4 linked regions of the Caenorhabditis elegans genome follow. The protein of the gene in region 1 interacts with the protein of each later gene in a pairwise test. Each region holds a gene or a part of one and is shown in the gene's direction. Other genes may lie near its edges.

Region 1 (7,609 bases):
TTTTGAAAACCTCAAAACTTTTTTAGCGGTCTCGTTATGAAAGTCAGGTAATTTCAGCATCTAAGCATCATATGTATCATTTTTCAGAAAAAGTTTAGGTTTTGTATTCCCGTAATCCATCATATTACAATGCCCACTTTCACCGCTGCTTGCCCACTGAATACATAATTTTTTTACTTGGAAATTGTTTTAACATCTGCAAAAAGTATTTATTTATCAGCTTAAATAAGAAAAAACGGGAAAAAGCTTTGAAAAACAAAAGAAAACAGGCGGAAAACAAAGCAAGATAAATGGCCGCTGAAACTTGTCGGCCCCTCGGCCATGGCCTAGAAACCACTTTTCCTCGTCCCTCGTGAGGAAAAAGTTGCAGTGACTGTGCCAAACGCACAAAACGCTTTTTTTATTCTCATTCAACGCACGACTTTGTTATAACCACACTCCGTTATTACGCATCGCGCGCGTTGTTTAGCGTAAAATACAAAAAAAAGTCGTGCGTTGAATGAGAATAAAAAAGCGTTTTGTGCGTTTGGCACAGTGCCAGCTCCCCTTTTCGCAGATCCCCTTTTCGTGGGGCCTCAAATTTTTTTTCTCGAAATTTTTGTACCTGAAACATTGCAACAAAAAAATGTTCAGCCACGTAGAATCGTGGAAATTTTATCCATTTTATGGGCGGAGCCTGTTTTTGTCTGAAAATATATATTTTTATTTTTTGTGTTAAACTTTGCAAAAATTTTCAATTATCAAATTTTTTTTGAATTTTTTGAAAATTTCGATTAAAAATTTCATTAAAAACTTTAAAAAAAAACAAAAAACTTTTTTTCTCAAAAAAACTCAAAAAATAATAAACGGTATAAACGGTATAAATCTGGTCATTTTTGTACCAAAAGTGCCATTTTATAAGCGAAGACTGTTTTTGTTGTGAAAATTTTTTTCGAAATTTCAGAATGGGCGGAGTTGTTCAAACTTTTGCTCAAATGTGCAATTTTGAATTTTTGCACATTTGAGCATCCATTTTGTGGACGTGGCCAGTTTTTGTCCGAAATTCACTTTTTTTTTTGAATTTTGTGTTTCATTGTCATTCTAAAAAAATGTTGCTTTAAAAAAAATTTAGTTTTGCTGATTTTGAAATATTGTTCATAGAAAAAAATTTAATTTAAAATTTTTAGAAAACCGACCATTTTGTGGGCGGAGCCAGTTTTCGTCTAAAATTCCTTTTTTTTTAAAGCGAATTCTGAAAAAATTCTGAAAAATAATCACTTACGCGGCATCATAGTAATTATTTTATATTTTTTTGAAAATTGCACGTTTGAGCATCCATTTTGTGGTGGGCATGGCTAGGTTTTGTCCTAAATTCGCTTTTTTTTTTGAATTTTGTGTTTCATTGTCATTCTAAAAAAATGTTGCTTTAAAAAGAATTTAGTTTGCTGATTTTGAAATATTGTTCATAGAAACGTACTTAAAATTTGGAATAAGTCATCATATATTTAATTTCAAATTTTTAGAAAACCGACAATTTTATGGGCGGAGTCAGTTTTTGTCTGACAATATTTTTTCTCGAAATTTCTGTATCTGAAACATTGCAAAAAATTATATAGGAATTCTTTCGGTATCGTCCATTTTGTGGGCGTGGCCAGTTTTTGTCTGAAATTCGTTTTTTTAAAATTTTCTGTGTGAAACTTTGCAAAAATTTTCAATTATCTTTTTTTTTTGGAATTTCTTGAAATTTTCGACTGATCATTACATTAAAAATTAGTTTTTTTTACTGTGAAATCCTTAAATTTTTTGGAAAATACGTTTTTTTACAAAAAAAAAAATTCACAAAAATCTCAAAAATTAATAAAAAAGTATTTAATTTCTACTTTACTGTAATTTATTAATATTTTCCTTCCAAACTCGTAAAACTCTTTTAAAAAAATTCTGAAATCCTTCCAACCTTCAGTATAAATCAATATACCACAAAAATTTCTAAAATTTATCCAAAAATTCCAGATTCGACTGAAGGTCAAAGGAAAGCAAAGCGCAGTGGGCCGTAACCGAAAAGACAATAAAGATGTGATTGCCGAGTACGCTGGATGGATTTGATGATTTAATAATTGTTCTCGTTTTTCCCGGAAAATTCGTTTTTTCTATTCTTTTTCACCTGTTATTATTACCATTGTTATATGTTTTTTGTTCTGTTAACTTCTCCCCTTCAATATAAACGAAATGATGCGTTTTTTTTCGATTAAAATGCAACATTTATCGTTGACACGTTCGTAACTTTCATCGTCGCGCCGTCTATTTCAACTGATAAGATAATCTGATCAATCTTCTTTTTTTTTTTGATTGATAAGATAATATTGTCTCTTTTAAATAACCATTCACACACTTTTCTTTTTTTCAGAAAAATAGTTCTTCATTTTCGAAAATGGCTCCAACTCGTGCTGTCATTCCTGATGATTTTGAGGTTTGTGTGATTCAGATTTTTGAATTTTGAATTAAAATTTTCACGATTTCGAGAAAAATATCCACATTTAGCAGCTAGAAACAAAAAAATTCAAGAAAAGTGCTTAAATTTTCATTAAATTTGAATTTAAACAGTTTTTTTAGTTTTTGGTGAGGCTCCTAGGCTACAAACTACAACGATGTTTTAGCCTCGCCAAAGTTGGTTGAGGCTAGGAAACATTGTAGTTTGTGGTCTGACGCCTCAACCAACTTTTCCAGAAATTTTTTCAAACAATTTTGATTCAGGATTTTTAAAAAATTTCGAATGAAAATTGCCAAATGTGCATGAAATTTCCAAGCTTTAGTAGCTGAAAACAAAAAAAAAATCAAAAAATTTTAATTTAAACAGGTTTTTTTTTAGTTTTTGGTGAGGCTCCTAGGCTACAAACTACGACGAGTTTTAGCCTCACCAAAGTTGGTTGAGGCTAGGAAACATTGTAGTTTGTAGTGTGACACCGCAACAAACGGTGGTTCCATCAATTTTTGTGATTCAGATTTTTGAATTTCGAATGAAAATTGCCACGATTTCGAGAGCAATTTTCACATTTAGCAGCTGGAAACGAAAAAAAATCCAAGAAACAGGCTTAAAATTCTATAAAATTTGAATTTAAACAGTTTTTTAGTTTTTTGTGAGGTTCTCAGACTACAAACTACAATGATGTTCAGCCTCACCAAAGTTGGTTGAGGCTGGGAAACATTGTAGTTTGTGATCTGACGCCTCAACCAACTTTTCACTTTTCCAGCAATTTTTTGATTCAGATTTTTGAATTTTAACTGAAATAAAAAAACTGCAGGAAGTTTATAATTTAGCAGCTGGAGACAAAAAAAAAATTCAAGAAAAATGCTTAAATATCCATAAATTTTGAATTTTCGCTAATTTAAGTTTTTTTGGTGAGGCTCTCAGGCTACAAACTACAAGAGTTTTCAGCTTCATCAAAGTTAGTTGAGGCTAGAAAAAGTTGTAGTTTGTAGTGTGAACCAAAAATTGACCGAAAACGTGATTTTCAGTTAATTTTTGACATTTTTTTTAACAAAAAATTCTCGATTTCTATCCATTTCAGCTAAAAACTCACAATTTTGCAACCGTTTCTCCTCATATCAGCAGAAATTCATTAAAAATTACGTTTTTTTTTCCAAAATTTTGCCCAGAAAAACTAGTTTTCAACAATTAAAAAGAACAATATTATCCATATTTTTGTTCTAAAATAGTTAAAATCTGCAATCTTCAGTCAAAAATTTTCAACTTTTTCAAGTATTTTGTGAAATTTCGAACATTTTCAACATGGTTGAGGCTAGAAAGATTTGTAGTTTGTAGTCTAATTGATTTTTGGGCTAAAAATGTGCAATTTCATTTATTTTTAAACGTCGTTTCTTGCAAAATTATGGCGAAATTGTAAAATTTTAAATTAATATTTAATTTTTGCAGCTCCCAGTCGACGCATTCGACATTCCAATCTGCTATGACGGTGATTTATCCGGTGTCGTGATTCCGGAAGGTCTTGTTAGAGATCGTGTTCGTCGTCTGGCTAAAGGTAAAAACAGTTAAAATTTAAAAATTTCTCTCTAATAGCCCTACAACGGACTTCTAGCTCCCTCAAATTTGAAAATGGAAGAGATGGAAACCTCTTCCACGGCCATGTGTCGATTTACGTGACAATTGTAAAATCGTCTTCTCCTCCTCGAAGAGTACACGAGGGCTGCGTAAATCGACACACAGGGCCGTGGAAGAGGATTCCAGCTCTTCCATTTTCAAGTATAAGGGAGCTTGGATTGAAGGATTTCAAAAAATACAGAAAAATTTCAAATTTTCCTCTAAAAAAGTGTCAACGGAATTTTTTCGATTTTCCGAAATTTCGAATTATTTTTCGATTTTTCTAAAATTACCTTGAAATTTTGTGTTCTAATTGTTCTTTTTAGAAGACATTTTTAATTTTTCTCATGTTTTTTAACAATATAAACAAAATTAGATTAGAAAATCGAATTTTATGATTAATTTTTTTTTTCGATTTTTCGATTTTTGTTCAGATTTTTCGGAAACTAAAAAAATTTTCCTATTTTAGAAGTTTTTTTTACGGAAAATCCGAAAATGGACAATTTTTCGTTGATACATTTTTTTTTGAAGAAATTGAAGAAATGCGATGACGGAAAAGTTTCGAATAAAAACAATTATTTTCAGAAACAAGACTTTCTGCTTCAATATTATTTCTTTAATTTCTTTAAAAATTTTTCTTCTAAAAACTGCCAAAATTTTTTTTTTTTTTTTGAAAAAACTTCTAAAAATTTTCGATTTTTATATTTGCTGGAAAATTGATCAGAAAATTCTATTTTTTTTTTTTCTAATTTTGTTTATATTGAAGAAAAAAAACCTAGTCATCAAACTTTTAAGCTAATTTTAGAAAAATCTGAAAAAATTAGAAATACCGGAAAATTTTCGTTTTTCGATTTACACTGTAACTTTTTCCTCACGAGGGACGAGGAAAAGTGGTTTCTAGGCCATGGCCGAGGGGCCGATAAGTTTCAGCGGCCATTTATCTTGCTTTGTTTTCCGCCTGTTTTCTTTCGTTTTTCATCGATTTTTTTCGTTTTTTCTTATTAAAACTGATAAATAAATACTTTTTGCAGATGCTAAAACAAATTCCAAGTAAAAAAATTATGTATTCAGTGGGCAAGCAGCGGTGAAAGTGGTCAATGTAAAATGATGGATTACGGAAATACAAAACCTAAACTTTTTCTGAAACATGATACATATGATGCTTAAATGCTGAGACTACCTGATTTTCATAACGAGACCGCTGAAAAAGTTTTGAGGTTTCCAAAATTCAACTTTTTTGGTGAAAAGGTCGAGATTTTCGCACAAAAAGTTGAATTTTGAAAATCTCAATACTTTTTCAGACGTCTCATTATGGAAATCAGGTAGTCTCAGCATTTAAGCAGCATATGTATCATGTTTGGGGAAAAGTTTAGGTTTTGTATTCCCGTAATCCATCATATTACAATGCCCACTTTCACCGCTGCTTGCCCACTGAATACATGATTTTTTTTACTTGGAAATTGTTTTAGCATCTGCAAAAAATATTTATTTATCAGTTTTAATAAGAAAAAACGGGAAAAAGCTGTGAAAAACAAAAGAAAACAGGCGGAAAACAAAGCAAGATAAATGGCCGCTGAAACTTGTCGGCCCCTCGGCCATGGCCTAGAAACCACTTTTCCTCGTCCCTCGTGAGGAAAAAGTTGCAGTGATTTAGTAAAAAATCAGAAATCATATAATTTTCTCAGACATCCACGCTGAAATCGGAAACAAACCAATCGCGCTGCTCTGCGTACTCAAAGGATCCTATAAATTCTTCACTGCCCTCGTCGAAGAGCTCACAAATGCTCGCTCATCGTGTCCTGAACCAATGACTGTCGATTTTATTCGAGTAAAGAGTTACGAGGATCAAATGAGTACTGGACAAATTCAAATAATGGGACTATCGAATTTGGATGAGCTCAAGGGGAAAAGTGTGCTCGTTGTGGATGATATTTCGGATACCGGAAGAACTCTTGCAAAACTTCTCTCAACTTTACATGAGACGGGCGTTGAGAAGACCTGGACCGCCCTTCTCCTGTCGAAACGTGTCAAACGTGTCGTGGATGTTCCAGAGGATTTCGTGGCTTTTGAGATTCCTGACAAATTTATTGTTGGCTACGGATTGGATTATAATCAGAAATTCCGAGATCTCGGACATATTTGTGTCATGAGCCCTGCTGGAATTGAGAAATATAAATCGGAATAATTTGGATTTTTACAATTTTTTTGAAAAAAAAAATTGAAATTTTTGAATGTCTAATTGTTTTTTTTTTGCTCTGCTATTCCTAATTACACTGTGATCTGCTTTAAATTCGTTATTAATTTTTTTAAAACAAATATACATTATTTTAAAAATATACATGTATTGCTTCAAAATTGTAGTTTTTTTTTCTAATTTTCGGTGTATTATGACCGTCAAGGTTTTGTCCTACAAAATATTTGAAATGACCAAATTTTTTCACAATTTTTTAATCGAAAAAAAAATGCAAAAACCACGAGAAACCGTAGATTTTTTAAAATTCCATAGAGAGAAAAATTGCAAGAAAAATTGCTTTTAATTAATTTTTTTTGGGAAAAATCAAAATTTTTCCGATTAAAAAAAATCGATGGTCGAGAAATTTCATTTGCTTTTTTTTTTTTTTGAAATTTTTTTAAAAAATCTTTTTTCAAAATACCGCGTTTTGCCAGTATAGCTTTAAAAAATTTTTTTACACATTCTGATAATTTTAATTTTTTTTCAGTTTTTTAATCGAAAAAATTCAAAATCCACGAGAAATTAGAATTTAGAAAAAAAATTTCGAGGAAAATAAAAATATAGCTTGAAATTAATTTTTTTAAACGAAAAATCTAAATTGTTTGATTTTAAAAAAAACGATGGCCGAACTTTCTCGATATTCGAAAAAAAACATGTGGCCGAGTTTTTCACTTCTCGGCCACCTAGCAAAACTATTTCATGAACACGAAATTGTGAGAATGCGTATTGCACAACATATTTGACGCGCAAAATATCTCGTAGCGAAAACTACAGTAATTCTTTAAATGCGCAAAATATCTCGTAGCGAAAACTACAGTAATTCTTTAAATGCGCAAAATATCTCGTAGCGAAAACTACAGTAATTCTTTAAATGACTACTGTGTCGATTTACGGGCTTAAATGGATTCAATTAATTTATTTATCGATAAAGTATTGAAATTCAGCTAAAAATGACCAAATAATGCGAAGAACCGAATGAGCCCGTAAATCGACACAAACGCTCTACAGTAGTCATTTAAAGGGTTACTGTAGTTTTCGCTACGAGATATTTTGCGCGTCAAATATGTTGTGCTATACGTATTCTCAGAGTTTTGTGTTCCCGCAATAAATAGAATATATCTGTATTAAAAAATTTTGGAAAAAAATTAATTTTTCATCCAAAAAATTTTAAGAAATAGGTCATATTTTGTGAAATCTAAGAGAAAATCAATACAAAATGTTTTTTTCAGAACCAAAAAAAAATGGAAAAGAGAAACGAGGAGCACTCGCGCAAAAAGTTCATCGAAGAGCAGCTAAATGCT
Region 2 (4,994 bases), on another chromosome or scaffold:
AATTTTCGATTCCGAAAATTTGCCGATTTGTCGGAAATTTGAAATTCCGGCATTTTGTCTATTTGCCGGAAATTTTAAATTCCGACAATTTGCCGGTTTGCCGACTTGCCGGAATATGTCGCCCACCCCTGCTATATATCGAATTCCAGAAACCCCAATGGGACAATTGCCTGTCCTCACCGTCGATGACTTCGAAATCCCACAATCTGCTGCCATAAATCGCTACCTTGCTAGAAAATTCGGGTTCGCTGGAAAAACTCCAGAGGAAGAAGCTTGGGTAGACGCCGTCGTCGATCAATTCAAAGATTTCTTTGCGGAATTCAGAAAACTAGTCATTGCAAAACGAGTCGGAAAATCTGCTGAAGAACTGGAAAAGTTAACGGCTGAAGTTATAAAACCTGCTATGGATGTGTACTTCAAAGTTCTCAATGGCCTACTGGAAAAGAGCAAGTCAGGATATCTGATCGGAGATTCAATCACCTTCGCGGATCTTTATATCGCTGACAACATTCAAACACTGAAAAAATATGGGCTCCTAGAAGCTTCTGGAGAGCAACCAAAACTAGCAGCTCATCTCGAAAAAGTGTATTCCCACCCCAATCTGAAGAGCTATATCGCAAGTCGTCCAGTAACGGAGATCTAATTTTTAATCTTACTAACATGTTTTCCATATTCAAAAACAAAATAAAGAAGTTTCCTTTGACAACCAGAAACTTCATTAATGTTGACTGCCGCCGAAATGTCCTTGTCAATACTCTCTCACGTGGGGGGGGGGGGGGGGGGTAAACAAGAAAATGTGATGTTTGGTGAACAGAAAGGGTAGGGGAGAATAACAAAATAAAAACGAAGGAGGTTTTCTAAAGAATGATTGTTCTGGATTTTTTTTTGTTGGTTTTTTACAATTCATTTTTATTTTTATACTTATGCCAAGTTGAATTAAAGATGGAGCAGAGTTTCTGAAGTTTGCATATATTAATTACCTATTTTCAACAAATTTAGACGGCATTTTATTTTTGCCCAATTTTTTTCAGCCATCTAAGGACTGTCCTTTTTTTGGGCAAAAAAAATTTCTCTGAAACCGTTCGAAACTACTGGAAATTGAAAAAGGGCAATTTTTTAGTGTTTGCAGATCAATTTTGAGTCCTCTATCTATAAAATTGACCATTTTAGAGGAGTTTCAAAATTGTGATTTTTTGCCATAAATTGCCCATTTTTGCCACGTTATAGTTTTTGATGGGTTAAACATAGATTTTCTGAATTCAGCATACACGAATTACCCGTTTTCAACAAATTTAGCCAAAAATTTTTTTGCCCAATTTTTTTAAAGCCATCTAATGACTGTCCTTTTTTTTGGGCAAAAAAAAAGATTTTTCTTAAAACGTTTGGAACCACTGGAAATTGAAAAAGGGCAATTTTTTAGTGTTTGTAGATCAATTTTGAGTTCTCTAACTAAATTCAAAATGAACCATTTTAGAGGAGTTTTAAAATTTGTGATTTTTTACAATAAATTGCCCAAACAATATGTTTTTAAAAAAATTTTTAATGATTTTTTTTTTCAATTTTTCAAAAATCAAAGAAATGCCCAAATTATATTTGAATTCTCGCGCAAATGAGTGACGTCATTTTTGGCTAAATTTATGCGTTTTTTTTTAAAATTTTCTTCTATATTTGATTTAAAACACAAATTCGGCAATTGTTTTTCAAATTGAAAACTTTTTTCCGTAACATGGAAGAAATTGGTCTAAAAAACGGAAATTTAATATTTCTTTATATTTTTTTTGTTTTAGAAAATTGAATGTTTGAAAAATTGACAAACGGCGATTTAAATCAAATGTAGAAGACATATCAAGAAACCCCTCCAAAATTAGCCAGAAAAAGCGAAAATGCATAGAATGACGTCACTCATTCGCGCGGGAATTCAAATTTAATTCGGACGTTTTTTTTTTCAAATGGAAAAAAATTATTAAAAATTTAGAAAATTTTTAAAATTTTTTGACAGTTATATTTGGTTATTACGACCTATTTTCTGTGACTTAAACCCAAAAAAAATTTGAAAAAGCTCTTCTTCTCTTTTCAAAGTGGGGTTTTTTTCGAAACGTGTCCTGCAAAAAAATGTAAATTTCCAAAAAATCGTTTTTATTTCTCTTATTTTTCTTTTATTTTGAAATTTTAAATTTTGTGCTCTTTTTTATCACAATGCTCAAAGACCACCGATTTCCAATTCCCATATTATATTTTTGCTTAGAGACGTAAGCCTCAAATAAATAGACTTAGACTGTTAGAGACCTCGCTTTTTCCACTCAATTTTGTCGATTTTCGAATCCACCTTTTTCAATCTTCCAGAAATAAAATGCCACAATACAAGCTAACATATTTTGATCTACGTGGATGGGCTGAGCCGGCTCGACAGCTTTTCCATCTCTCGCATACTCCATACGATGATATTCGGATTCCAATGGCCGATACTGAAGGGAAATGGGAGAAAATGAGAGACAGTAAGTTCTTAAAGTGAAATGTGTTGCTTGTAGTTTGTAGTTTGTAGTTTGTAGTTACTGATGCCACACTTAATTTGAAAAAGTTTGAACTAAAAAACATTAAATTTCTTGGCTTTCGGGGAAAAATCTTTTTGTAGTTTGTAGTTTGTAGTTCGTAGTTTGTAGTCTGTAGTTTGTAGTTTTTAATTTGTAGTTTGTAGTTTGTAGGTGCTAGTTTGTAGTTTGTAAAAGGTTTTTTGGTACGAAAGTATTTTGAAAAATTAATTTTTGTCAAAAAAATAGTTTGTTACTTGTAGTCCGTAATTCGTATTATGTAGAATATAGGTTGTAGTTTGTAGTCTGCAGATTGTAGTTTGTAGTTTGTATATTGTAGTTTGTAGTTTGTAGCTTGTAGAAAGGATTAGATATTTCTGTTTTTTTTTCGTATAAATAGAAAGTCACTACATCCAGCTTTAGGGTTTCATAAGATCTTCAGGCGTACGCGCCTACTTTTTGCCTGCCTGCCTACGTGCTCTCCATTGTGACTTCTTGTTTAGCGCAGATTTCAAATATTTGTGTTAAGTATAAAATGTTCGATTACAAACTGAGAGTATGAACACACGATGGCAGACGTAGGCATGTAGGCAAGCGTGCCTACAAAGAAGACCTGCCATAATTAATTCAACTTCCAGAAACCCCATTTGGTCAGCTCCCAGTACTCAACGTTGATGGCTTCGACATCCCCCAATCTGCTGCAATTTGTCGATACCTTGCCAAGAAATTTGGTTATGCCGGAAAAACTCCAGAAGAAGAAGCGTGGGCGGACGCCGTTGTCGACCAATTCAAAGACTTCTCCGTTGCTTTTAAAACACTCCTTTTTGCCACAAGGGCCGGGAAACCAGAAGAAGAAATCCTCAAAATCCGCTACGAGATTTTCAATCCAGCTCGAGATGTCTACTTTATTCTTCTCAATCGAATTCTCAAAAAGAGCAAGTCAGGTTATTTAGTTGGTGATGGGCTCACATGGGCTGATCTAGTTATAGCTGATAATTTGCACAGTCTGGAGAAGCTTCGAGCCATCGATGATGATGATGAAGGACATCAGAATTTGAAAAAGTATAAGGAGAAAATCTATGGAACCCCAGATTTGGAGGATCATATTGCGACGAGAATGGATACAGAAGTCTAAATTTTGAATCGCGTTGAATTTTTAAAAACTGTGATAAAAGATAATAAACATATTGTAGTATTTTATGCGGATATTTTTTTACCGAAATACTTTTTTTTGAAATAATAGTGCGAGAAGTGCAACAGGGCTCCATATGATTTTTCAGTACTTTTGAATTTTTGAAAAAAACAGCTTTTGATGTATTTTCTGAACTTTTTAAAATAATCTTCCGTACAAGTTAGCAAATTTTATTTAATATTTTTTGGTATATTTTATCATGCTAAACAGTTTTATAAAAGAAAAATGAAGCACTTCATATGATTTTTCAGTACTTTTGAATTTTTGAAAAAAAAACAGCTTTTGATGCATTTTCTGAATTTTTCAAAAATTTTTCCAATTTTCTGACTTTTTGTTTTGTGACCAGTGTTTCTTCGCAAAAACACAAACCACTCTTCTATTTCTCTATTTCTCTCACTCTCCCTCCCCTCAATTTCGGAGATTTTCGAAACGACTTTGTGTATATAAAGTACTACTCAATCATCTCCCATCAACAAACAATGCCACAATACAAGCTCTACTATTTCAACCTTCGTGGATGGGCTGAGCCGGCTCGGCAGCTCTTCAAGCTGGCTCACGTCGAGTTTGAGGATGTTCGTATTGAGAATGGAACTCCAGAGTGGGGAGCGTTGAAGCCAAGTGAGTTTTTGAAACATTTTTAGTGGTATTTGTATAACTGTCACGGATTTTGAGAATTTTTTAAAAATCAGATACGGTGGTCCACTCTAAGCCTAAGCCTATGCCTCGGCCTATGACTATACCTAAGCCTAAGCGAAAGCCTAAACCTAAGCCTAAGTCTGAATCCCAACCCAGGAATCTTCCAGAAACCCCATTTGGTCAGCTCCCATTCCTCTCAGTCGATGGCTTCGAAATCCCCCAATCCGCTGCAATTCTCCGCTACCTTGCCAAAAAATTCGGCTACGCTGGAAAAACATCAGAGGAAGAAGCGTGGGTGGATGCAATCGTAGATCAATTCAAAGACTTCGTCACCCCACTACGCCAACTCATCATGGCTCAAAGATCCGGAAATGCGGAGGAAATCGAGCGAATCCAAAAGGAGGTCTTCGCGCCGGCCCGGGATACATTCTTCAAAATTCTTAATGGAATTCTTGAGAAGAGCAAGTCAGGATTCCTAGTCGGAGATGGTGTAACTTGGGCTGATCTGGTGATAGCTGATATTTTGACAACTATGGAGATGCTGGGAGTGTTTGATAAGCACGGAGAGGAGCAGAAGCTTGCAGCGCTCCGTGAGAAGGTTAATGAGATACCGGAGATCAAGGAGCACAACTCGTCGA
Region 3 (4,507 bases), on another chromosome or scaffold:
GTGGGAGTGACAGGATTATCCATAACGGATTGTTTCAGATTGATTGCACTGACAATGATGTCGTCGCAGAAATGACCGATAACACCGGTTTGTTGCATTTGAGACCAGAAATTCATAGGATCTGAAATAAAAATAAATTAGTGATAAATGTTATGTCAAATAGCTTACCGTTCTGCAGACAATTGAGAATATCATTGAATGGCGTGCACTCATTGGATTCCTTATTTGAAGAAGTTGGCTCTTCATTAGATGACATTGATTGCAGTGGTGGCGCATCAATGAAGAACTCCTCGAAGAAACGATCGTCTTGTGGCTCCATTTTGACCATTTGTCTGGGCTTGTTGACACTTCCACGTGGACGTCCACGAGCTTTTTTGGCGCCTGAAAAATGATATGTTTCCAGAATACTGGTAGTTATACAAAAGGAGCTAGTTTTAGAATGTTCTAGCAATATAGAATAATGTTTCCTTTATCTGAAAAAACTTATATTTAAGTTGGAATAGTTGAAAAGATGCTCACAAATCTCAAACTTTGAGACAATATTTGAGCACTTTTCCGATTGTTCCAACTAAAATATAAGTTATTTTTAGACATAACAAATATTATTCCTAAATTTTAATGAAAAATATTGAGAGAACATGTCAAAACTAGATCCTTTTGTAGAATTATCGGTCGTACTCTTTCTATTATCATCATTATCCGCCTCTTTTCCAGCCATCTCATTTTCGATCTCATATTTAAGTTGTCCGGCTTCAGATGTTCTCTTGGACTTCCGAGCTTGAAGCACCTCTTCAGATGGAGCATTCACATAATTTCTGCTTTGACACTTTCCACTGCATCGATTCATATGCTCGTAGAAGTCGATGGTCATTGCTTCCATGTGAGTTCTAGAATATAAAGTTTTGAGAAACAGAAGTATTTTAAGGGATTATTGTCTTGATGCTCACCTCAACGAAGATCTTCCAACACGGATGCTCGCCTTCCAATCTTTCTGACGCTCTTTGTCGCCACGGATTGTGAACTGCTTCGGAGAAAGAAGATCGTCTGAAAATAATTATATTATGAGACCCATTTTAAATTATCTGAAATAAATAAAATAACGAACTTCCCACTTCAATACACGGCTGATGAATCCCAGGGCACATGAACAGGTTGAGATGCATCTTTCCATTCACGACACCACAGGAAACTGGCACAGTCGGTGACGCATCTCCTTCGGGAATTGTGATCTGCAGTGGTGTTATAGGGCGCGGAAAATCGTCGTTTGCCGGATGCTGTAAAAATATGAATTATTAAAGCGATGTAATTATGAAAAAGTAGCTGAAACTCACTCCATACAAAATTTGATAAACATTCCTTTGACTCTCTTGGAATGGAGTCATCGTGGAATGATGATGATCAGATCCTTCGGCTTGAAATCCATCACATGATCCAGAAATCGGATGAGACGGCAACACGGAAGCAGCGCTCACGTCTCCACCGAACATTTTGACGTTGCTTTGCAATCCGAATAAAACCGTGAGTCGGGCGGGCCGTTGCAAAGTTCGCCACGTTTCACGTTAACACGTAAAGATTTCCGCGTCATTCTTTTTTTCATCTTTTTGGTACCACTTCCGATAAGCTGAAATTTCTTATTATTTTCGTTGGCAGATAAATAATGAATTTTTTGTTTTAAGAATATTTATTCAAGAGAAATGGTTTCAAAACGGGAAGAATCCAACTTTTCAGAGAGTTTTCTTTAATTTTTTACAACAAAAACACAATTTTCACACTAAACAACAGTTATTTAAATTAAAAATCACAAGTTGAACACTTTAAACGCGAAAAATAGTGAAAAAGTTCATAAAAAAGCAAAAGTGTGAAAATAATTGCAGAACAGAATTTTCTACAGTAACCTTAAAGGCGCACATACGAAATCGCGCGGCGCGTGGCGACACCATTTTACGATATTGGTCCTCCCTTGAACCTTCTGAAATCAGAAAGTTTTACAGTAATTGTAACATCACAAGATAGGAAAAAATGAAGAAAATAAAAAATAAAAAAGTCAAGAATTTTAGGATTGCAATTCAAAGGTTTTTACCGATCTTTTTAAAAAATAATGAGAATTTTGTTACTAACTATGATCTTTCATTTGATAGTATTAGTCATTAAAAAAAAACACACAGATCACCTTAAGTTTAAGAATACAATGAAAAATTAAGCAAAAAAATTCGTTGAAAACATTTTTTAATGCTCGTAAAATTGCTCCAAGGTTGATTTTGCCTTTTACATTTAATGATTTCAAATTTTGTAGAGGTCAATGTTTTTATGAGAGACTCGTAGGGACGGATTTTTTTTATTTGAAAGTTCAGATAGTTGAAAATATTTTTTTATATTTTTTTTTGTTAGAAACAAAAAATAATATTTTTACTTTAAAATAGAGTTTTTTAGACGAAAAAGTGATTACGTGACATGACCTTTGGGCCTTGTTTTTTATGGCCTAATTAATTCAGCATAAAAGGTCCAGATTTCGTCAGTTTTGTTCATATTTCGTCCGAAATCTTGAATCAATCGTCTTTTGAATCGCCAAAGCAGCCAAGAAGCAAAGGAGCAGAAGCATGGGTTCCGAGAAGATGATCGAGATCTGTATCGATATGGAAGAAGGAGAACCACTTGGTGCAACTCCGAATGACAAGCTTGTCATCACTAAAATCCAGGCTGGAACTATTTCCGAAGGAAAGTTGAGAGTAAGTTCTACAAAAGTTTAACCATTATTCTATGAAAAGTTTTATAGATTGGTGACCAAGTCAAAAAAGTCAACGGGCAAAACTGCAAAGATTGCAATGACTTTTTCCGTGCACTTCGCTTTGCAGCTCCATGTGCAAAAATTATGGTGAACCGCGATGAGAAGAAGGCCGAAGAGTTGGAGGCTCGTGTTCATATTCCTGAAGATCGTGCAAAGATCATTCAACGCCGTGAAGGATACGTCTATGAGTTGGCAACTCTTGTTTGGGTTCAAAATGGACCAAAACTTGGTTTGGGAATCAAGCATTTCCAGGTAAGAAATCAATCAAATCAAATAAATTCTAGGAAATTCATATATCTATTTCAGAATCGTGTGCTTGTCTCCCGTGTTGATCCTGGATCACTCGCCGAAAAGTGTCTCGTTCTTGGAGATCACTTGTGTGATGTTGATGGTATTCCAGTCAGTGACAAGGATGTTGCCAGAGACCTTCTCGTCAAGAACATTCAAGAAAAGGGAAAAGTCACTTTCGTCGTCGAGCGTCCCGATTCGATTGATGCCAAGCAATGGGCAAAGCAGGCATTGGCAACCAATCTTATGCAGCCACCATCTGTGCAAATGAACGAGGATGTGAAGGGCATTGCGTCTCAATACCGTCAAGCTCTTCCAGGATTGAAGCCTCCAGCAAAGAGTGCTATGTCTACTGGTCCAAGCGCTCGTCGCGTTTCAATTGTCGAGCAAACTCAAACACATGAAATCGGGCATGATCATGAGGGAAAAGCTCTTCGCAAGGTCAAGTGATGTGCCAGCAAGATGCCAGAAATCGCAACGTCTAGCTCGAATAAAAATTTTGTTTGAATCGCTTCTGCTGATTTATTTTGTTTTATATGTTCGAATACAGATAGTTTTTTGGGTATGTGAAACGCCCACAAAATGGCTCCTTTTAGGCAGGAGTGGTCAAAATACTACCGTATTGCAGACGATTTTTGTTTGAAAGTTGTTTGAATTTCTGAAAAAGGCAGAATGTGGTTACAGCAAGTCTCTATTAATATCAGCTCGTTTACTCCACGTGTTCCTCGTTTACCAAAAGCCCTGACCATGTTTTAGTGGCCCAGAAGAAAGTCTAGTTCTGGCTTACCGTAGCCTTAACAAGAGTTGAAAAGCCATAACTTTTGATGGCATAGGAAGTACCCACAACACTGAGCCTCTCGCAAACAACTTGCTTTGCTCCACCTTCAACGCTTTCATTTTGAGAAGCTTTTGATTGCAAAATAAATGGTAATAAATTGTTTTTTTTTGACATTTTTTTGTTGAAAAAACAATTTATATTAACTTCTTGAACCCATAATAAAATCAGCAATGTTAAAGGCCTTCCTATGCCTAGTTTCTGCATTTCTGCGCCAAATTTGGTGTCTGTGTCTTGACAGATAAATACATGGTGCATCGTGCAAAGATTCACCTACTGGCAGGTAACATGCCATTGCAACTAATCTAAATTATCTTATTAACAAACTTTCATTCAACTTTTGAATAAAAAAACGTGATGATCTCACGTTTTCAAAAAACATTCTAGTGCTTATCGTGATTTTCTCGATTATTCCTAGCTATTTACAATATTTCTTCCAACTTTCGTGCCTCAAATCATGAGCAAACCTGGTTAGTTTTGAACGCTTTTTAATGAAATTTTTGAAACTTTTTTTCAGAAAGTGTTCAAGAATCCCTTGATACAATCACATTTATTCACTCTTTTCAAATTACGACCACCAAGGTTGAGCATATGAAGCC
Region 4 (4,310 bases), on another chromosome or scaffold:
TTGTCAATTCTTCAACTTTACAGTTTTTCATGTGCATAATAGTTGTCTTCACACAAGTCAGGTTAGTTGTACGATAATATTAATTTTTAGCTAACACTGTTCCTTCAGACCTGTGAACAATCCAGAATCGTCAGCATATCTTTTTAGCGGGTTTTGTAGACACACTCATAAAAATGCTTGCTTTTTCAGTTTTGATTTTTTCCAGGTAAGTGTCCTGTAATTGTTATTTTTTACAAATATTCAAAATTCAGTTAGTCTTTGATGCCTCGTCCTTTGCAATTCCTGCTACATTGTTTTACAAATATACAAAAGTAACAAATATTAATATGAAAAACATAACTAAAAATCAAATCAGAATGATTCTTTTAAGCTCTTACCTTCTATCTTTAATTGTGGGGGTGAGTTTTGCTTTTCGTGATTGATCTAGAATGGAAATATGAATGTTTCTAGGTGATCTATGTGATAACGTACGAACCAGACGAATCTCTTGAGGTTGCTTCAGAGACCAGGAAGTTTCATTCAACACAATATGATTTCCGGTACTATGCGGATATCACTGGATATCAAAAACATTTTTGGAGCTGGTTAGCAACAAATTTGAATATGATAAGCATTTTCGTCCCACCAATCATGAGTATTGTGTTTATTAGGTAATAAATTTGAGTTTCGAAGAAATACTTACCAATGTGTTTCCAGACTAATACAAATTAAACTCAACAGTTTAAAACATTTATTTACTGATAAAACTGCTGCTCAAGCCAAGAAGTTTGATCTTGCTTTGACGATTCAGACACTTGTCCCTGCAGTTTGTGTGATTCCTATATACATAGCTCACTTAATACTTGAGAATTATGGTAGGCTCCTGTCCGTTTTTACAGTAAAATAATATGTGACAATTTTCAGACTTGCCGTTTCTCTCAAATTTTGAAAAAGTTCTATATATGATGCTTTCTCTTCCAACAGCTATTGATGCGTTCATTGTTATTGTCACCATCACACCGTACCAAAAAGCCTTTATTGCGTTTTTCAAGGATACGTTTTGTGGCAAAAAAGTTTCACCTGCAATTGTTAGACGTAACAATATTTCGGCTGTTTCCATTTTTTGAGCATTTTGAATAATTGGTAATGATAGTGGTGGACTAATCGGAGTAGTAATCGGAACTTTGCTCAATTGAATAAAATAACATTGTTCAAAGATATTACACAAGCACTTTTATAACAGTAATAAAAAATACCGACAAATGAAAAACATTGTTCGAAGATCTGCAAATAAAAATAACGATGAAAAAATATTTACAGTTCAACATTACACTTTAAAATAAAGTGCCAAAGCTCTCAAACAATTATTGTTAAACAAGTTTTTGGATCTAGAGAGACTATTCACCGTATTTCCTCACCAAATTAATTCATTTTGACGTCTAGTGTCGCACTACGTTTTAACGATACTAGAAATGTGTTATTAAAGCCCTAAGAAAAAGCTTATTGTTTATATTTTGCTAGTTGGCGAATGTCTGACAAAATTAAAAAAACAACCGAAAAATAAGCAGCTAAAGATGGAGAGATGGGTGCAAGACTATTGGACACGGAAATTATTTTTTTTTTAAGCAAATAAAATTTTAAAATTCCTGAAATCATAGTTGTGTTTTCATATTGAAAACTTGATCAATTGATCTTCCCTCAACTGTGCTTGCACAAAAATAGACACAATTCAAAGAGACGCAGAGGAATTAACAGTCACAAAAATTGTTACACTGTCTATGGTCTCTTCGGGAAGTAACTTTGAAAATACTCTCTACGTAAACAGATATTTCATATTTTAGTCACGGAAACTACAAACTTCCATTCAACCATGAAATAATTTTAACTGCAATGAGTATAAAAAGAAAACATTAAACTGCATTTAAACATCACATTCATCTGATTGACATTTTATTTTTGTAATCTCAAAATAATGGCTCGCTTTTCTGGAAAGTCTGTCATTATAACTGGTTCTTCTAATGGAATCGGAAGATCGGCTGCTGTGATTTTTGCAAAGGAAGGAGCTCAAGTTACAATTACTGGAAGAAATGAAGATCGCCTAGAAGAAACCAAACAGCAAATATTGAAAGCAGGAGTTCCAGCTGAGAAGATTAATGCCGTGGTTGCTGATGTTACCGAAGCATCAGGACAAGATGATATCATCAACACGACTCTTGCTAAATTCGGAAAAATTGATATCTTGGTATGTACATAGATAGAAAATGAAATATACTCAATTGTTTTAGGTTAATAATGCTGGTGCCAATTTAGCTGACGGAACAGCTAATACGGATCAACCAGTGGAGTTGTATCAGAAAACATTCAAGTTAAACTTCCAAGCTGTGATCGAAATGACTCAGAAAACAAAGGAACATTTGATAAAGACAAAAGGAGAGATTGTAAATGTTTCCAGTATCGTTGCTGGCCCACAAGCAGTAAGCTTCGGGAGAGAGGATTTCAGAACTTTTGTTTTAATTTTCAGCACTCTGGATATCCATATTATGCTTGCGCAAAAGCTGCGCTTGACCAATACACCAGATGCACTGCAATCGATCTTATTCAACATGGTGTCCGCGTAAATTCTGTCAGCCCTGGAGCAGTTGCCACTGGTTTCATGGGAGCGATGGGTTTACCAGAAACTGCATCTGACAAGCTTTACAGTTTTATTGGCTCACGGAAAGAATGCATTCCTGTTGGGCATTGTGGAAAGCCAGAAGAAATTGCCAATATCATTGTATTCCTGGCTGATAGAAACCTCTCATCTTACATTATTGGACAATCGATTGTTGCTGATGGAGGATCAACTCTTGTTATGGGAATGCAAACACATGATCTTATGTCCGTTCTTAGTCAGTAAACTATAACTTTTTTTTTCAGATTTTGTTAACCATTGTTATCTAATGTAATAGTCGTAAAATACACAATAAAATACATTGAATACTTTTATATAAATTGTGGTTTTAGGAATATATTACTTTTCTTTCGTTCACAAAGAAAAACAAGAGTTTCTGCTGCAGTTAGAAGTGTTGCTCCAACATATAATCCAATGGTTCCTCCAATTTCGGCTGAAAACTTTCAAAGTTACAAGCACATCGAGTAAAACTCACCAAGAAGTAAAAATAAGTTGTAGGATCTTTCTTGAAGAATAGTCTCTTGTTTAAAGTGTGCAAAATAGAACTTGATGTGAAGAAGATTTACTCTGAAAAAAGTTTGTTCCGTTGAAAGTACCAAGTTTAATGTTTATTTGCACGCATACACTCAATTAGAACAAGACGTCACGGCGGCGTCGTTTGCCATCACTGAGCTCACCCTACTCACAACTCAGATTACGCTTAAAAGACTTACACATCATATTGAGGAGTTGGAGAATATGACTGGGCCATCAAAACTTGGTTTCGAAGTCTTGAAAGCCATTCGCCACGGATGAATCGAGTTTTCTTTAAAATATAGAAATTAAAATCAGATCTTGATTTTTAAACTTTGAAATATTTTCTTATTTTATGTATTATTCGATTTTCCCCGTTGATCTTCTATGTATTACATTTTGTTACTATTTATCAAATTTCGAATAAACAAACAAACAAATAAATGTAATTTTTAGGTATTTTGAATATTTCAAAGTCAGTAATTATTCTTGCCTTTAAATTTGGCGCTTTTTCGTGAAGTTCATCCAAACATTTCGAGAAATTTGAAAATTTATCACTGAAACTTTCATCTGCAGCAATTCCTGTCAATACTGCAAACTTTCTTCTACTTTCTGTTGCTGCCAAAAAGGTTTCTGATAATTCATTCGCCAATGCTGGAATATCCGTAACCATAGTTTTTCTTAATTTTAGCATTTCTTCAATTTCCACATGGTCTTTTGCTATTTCTCGATACGATGATTCAAATTCTTTTAAATCAATTTTAAAATCTTTCCATTCACTCATTCGAACTCTTGTTTTTAATATTTGCAGTTTAGCCAACACTTTCTTCATGGCTTCTGTGTAAAGTTTAAATGATTCCGAATTTGGATTTGTTTTTGTATGGACGTTAGATGCTTCAATAAGTGGAGTGTAGCGATTCTTGAAAATCTAAAAATAATTATTATTCTTCAAATCCATGCATTAGTTTGACATACAATTCTGCAATCTTCTGCAATCTCTTCAACTCTCTCCAGATTTTCATACATTTTGGTAACACAGTCTCTTACTTCAGTAATCAGTGGATGGGCTGAAAGTATATGAGGAATAGAACTCTTTGCTTTTGCATGCTTACCCAATCCTAGCACAACTCTTCGAGTGCTTTCATGC

What was found.
Region 2: the proteins of hprt-1 (region 1) and gst-15 interact in a two-hybrid assay, tested with the Caenorhabditis elegans proteins (one large-scale study listed by BioGRID).
Region 3: the proteins of hprt-1 (region 1) and smz-1 interact in a two-hybrid assay, tested with the Caenorhabditis elegans proteins (one large-scale study listed by BioGRID).
Region 4: the proteins of hprt-1 (region 1) and F25D1.5 interact in a two-hybrid assay, tested with the Caenorhabditis elegans proteins (one large-scale study listed by BioGRID).

The regions. Positions count from the first base shown.
Region 1 is NC_003279.8:14,654,989-14,662,597, forward strand, and holds hprt-1 (Hypoxanthine phosphoribosyltransferase), read left to right. Parts: upstream 1-2,366; 5' UTR 2,367-2,407; coding exon 2,408-2,446; intron 2,447-3,910; coding exon 3,911-4,016; intron 4,017-5,760; coding exon 5,761-6,260; 3' UTR 6,261-6,507; downstream 6,508-7,609. Other genes in the region: riok-2 (Serine/threonine-protein kinase RIO2), read left to right, coding at 1,990-2,082; Y105E8B.6 (BZIP domain-containing protein), read left to right, coding at 7,550-7,609.
Region 2 is NC_003280.10:13,610,500-13,615,493, reverse strand, and holds gst-15 (glutathione transferase), read left to right. Parts: upstream 1-2,297; 5' UTR 2,298-2,350; coding exon 2,351-2,495; intron 2,496-3,166; coding exon 3,167-3,663; 3' UTR 3,664-3,724; downstream 3,725-4,994. Other genes in the region: gst-14 (glutathione transferase), read left to right, coding at 150-643; gst-24 (glutathione transferase), read left to right, coding at 4,200-4,338, 4,524-4,994.
Region 3 is NC_003282.8:12,452,595-12,457,101, forward strand, and holds smz-1 (PDZ domain-containing protein), read left to right. Parts: upstream 1-2,455; 5' UTR 2,456-2,597; coding exon 2,598-2,726; intron 2,727-2,773; coding exon 2,774-3,037; intron 3,038-3,091; coding exon 3,092-3,523; 3' UTR 3,524-3,705; downstream 3,706-4,507. Other genes in the region: Transcription regulator spe-44, read right to left, coding at 1-121, 169-381, 679-887, 948-1,044, 1,106-1,274, 1,332-1,487; C25G4.7 (uncharacterized protein), read left to right, coding at 4,366-4,378, 4,426-4,507.
Region 4 is NC_003283.11:10,544,394-10,548,703, reverse strand, and holds F25D1.5 (DeHydrogenases, Short chain), read left to right. Parts: upstream 1-1,920; 5' UTR 1,921-1,951; coding exon 1,952-2,221; intron 2,222-2,264; coding exon 2,265-2,453; intron 2,454-2,500; coding exon 2,501-2,875; 3' UTR 2,876-2,961; downstream 2,962-4,310. Other genes in the region: srd-34 (Serpentine receptor class delta-34), read left to right, coding at 24-61, 109-205, 252-398, 451-650, 697-854, 904-1,106; degt-1 (Acid-sensing ion channel 1), read right to left, coding at 2,962-3,083, 3,126-3,217, 3,364-3,455, 3,657-4,091, 4,139-4,230, 4,276-4,310.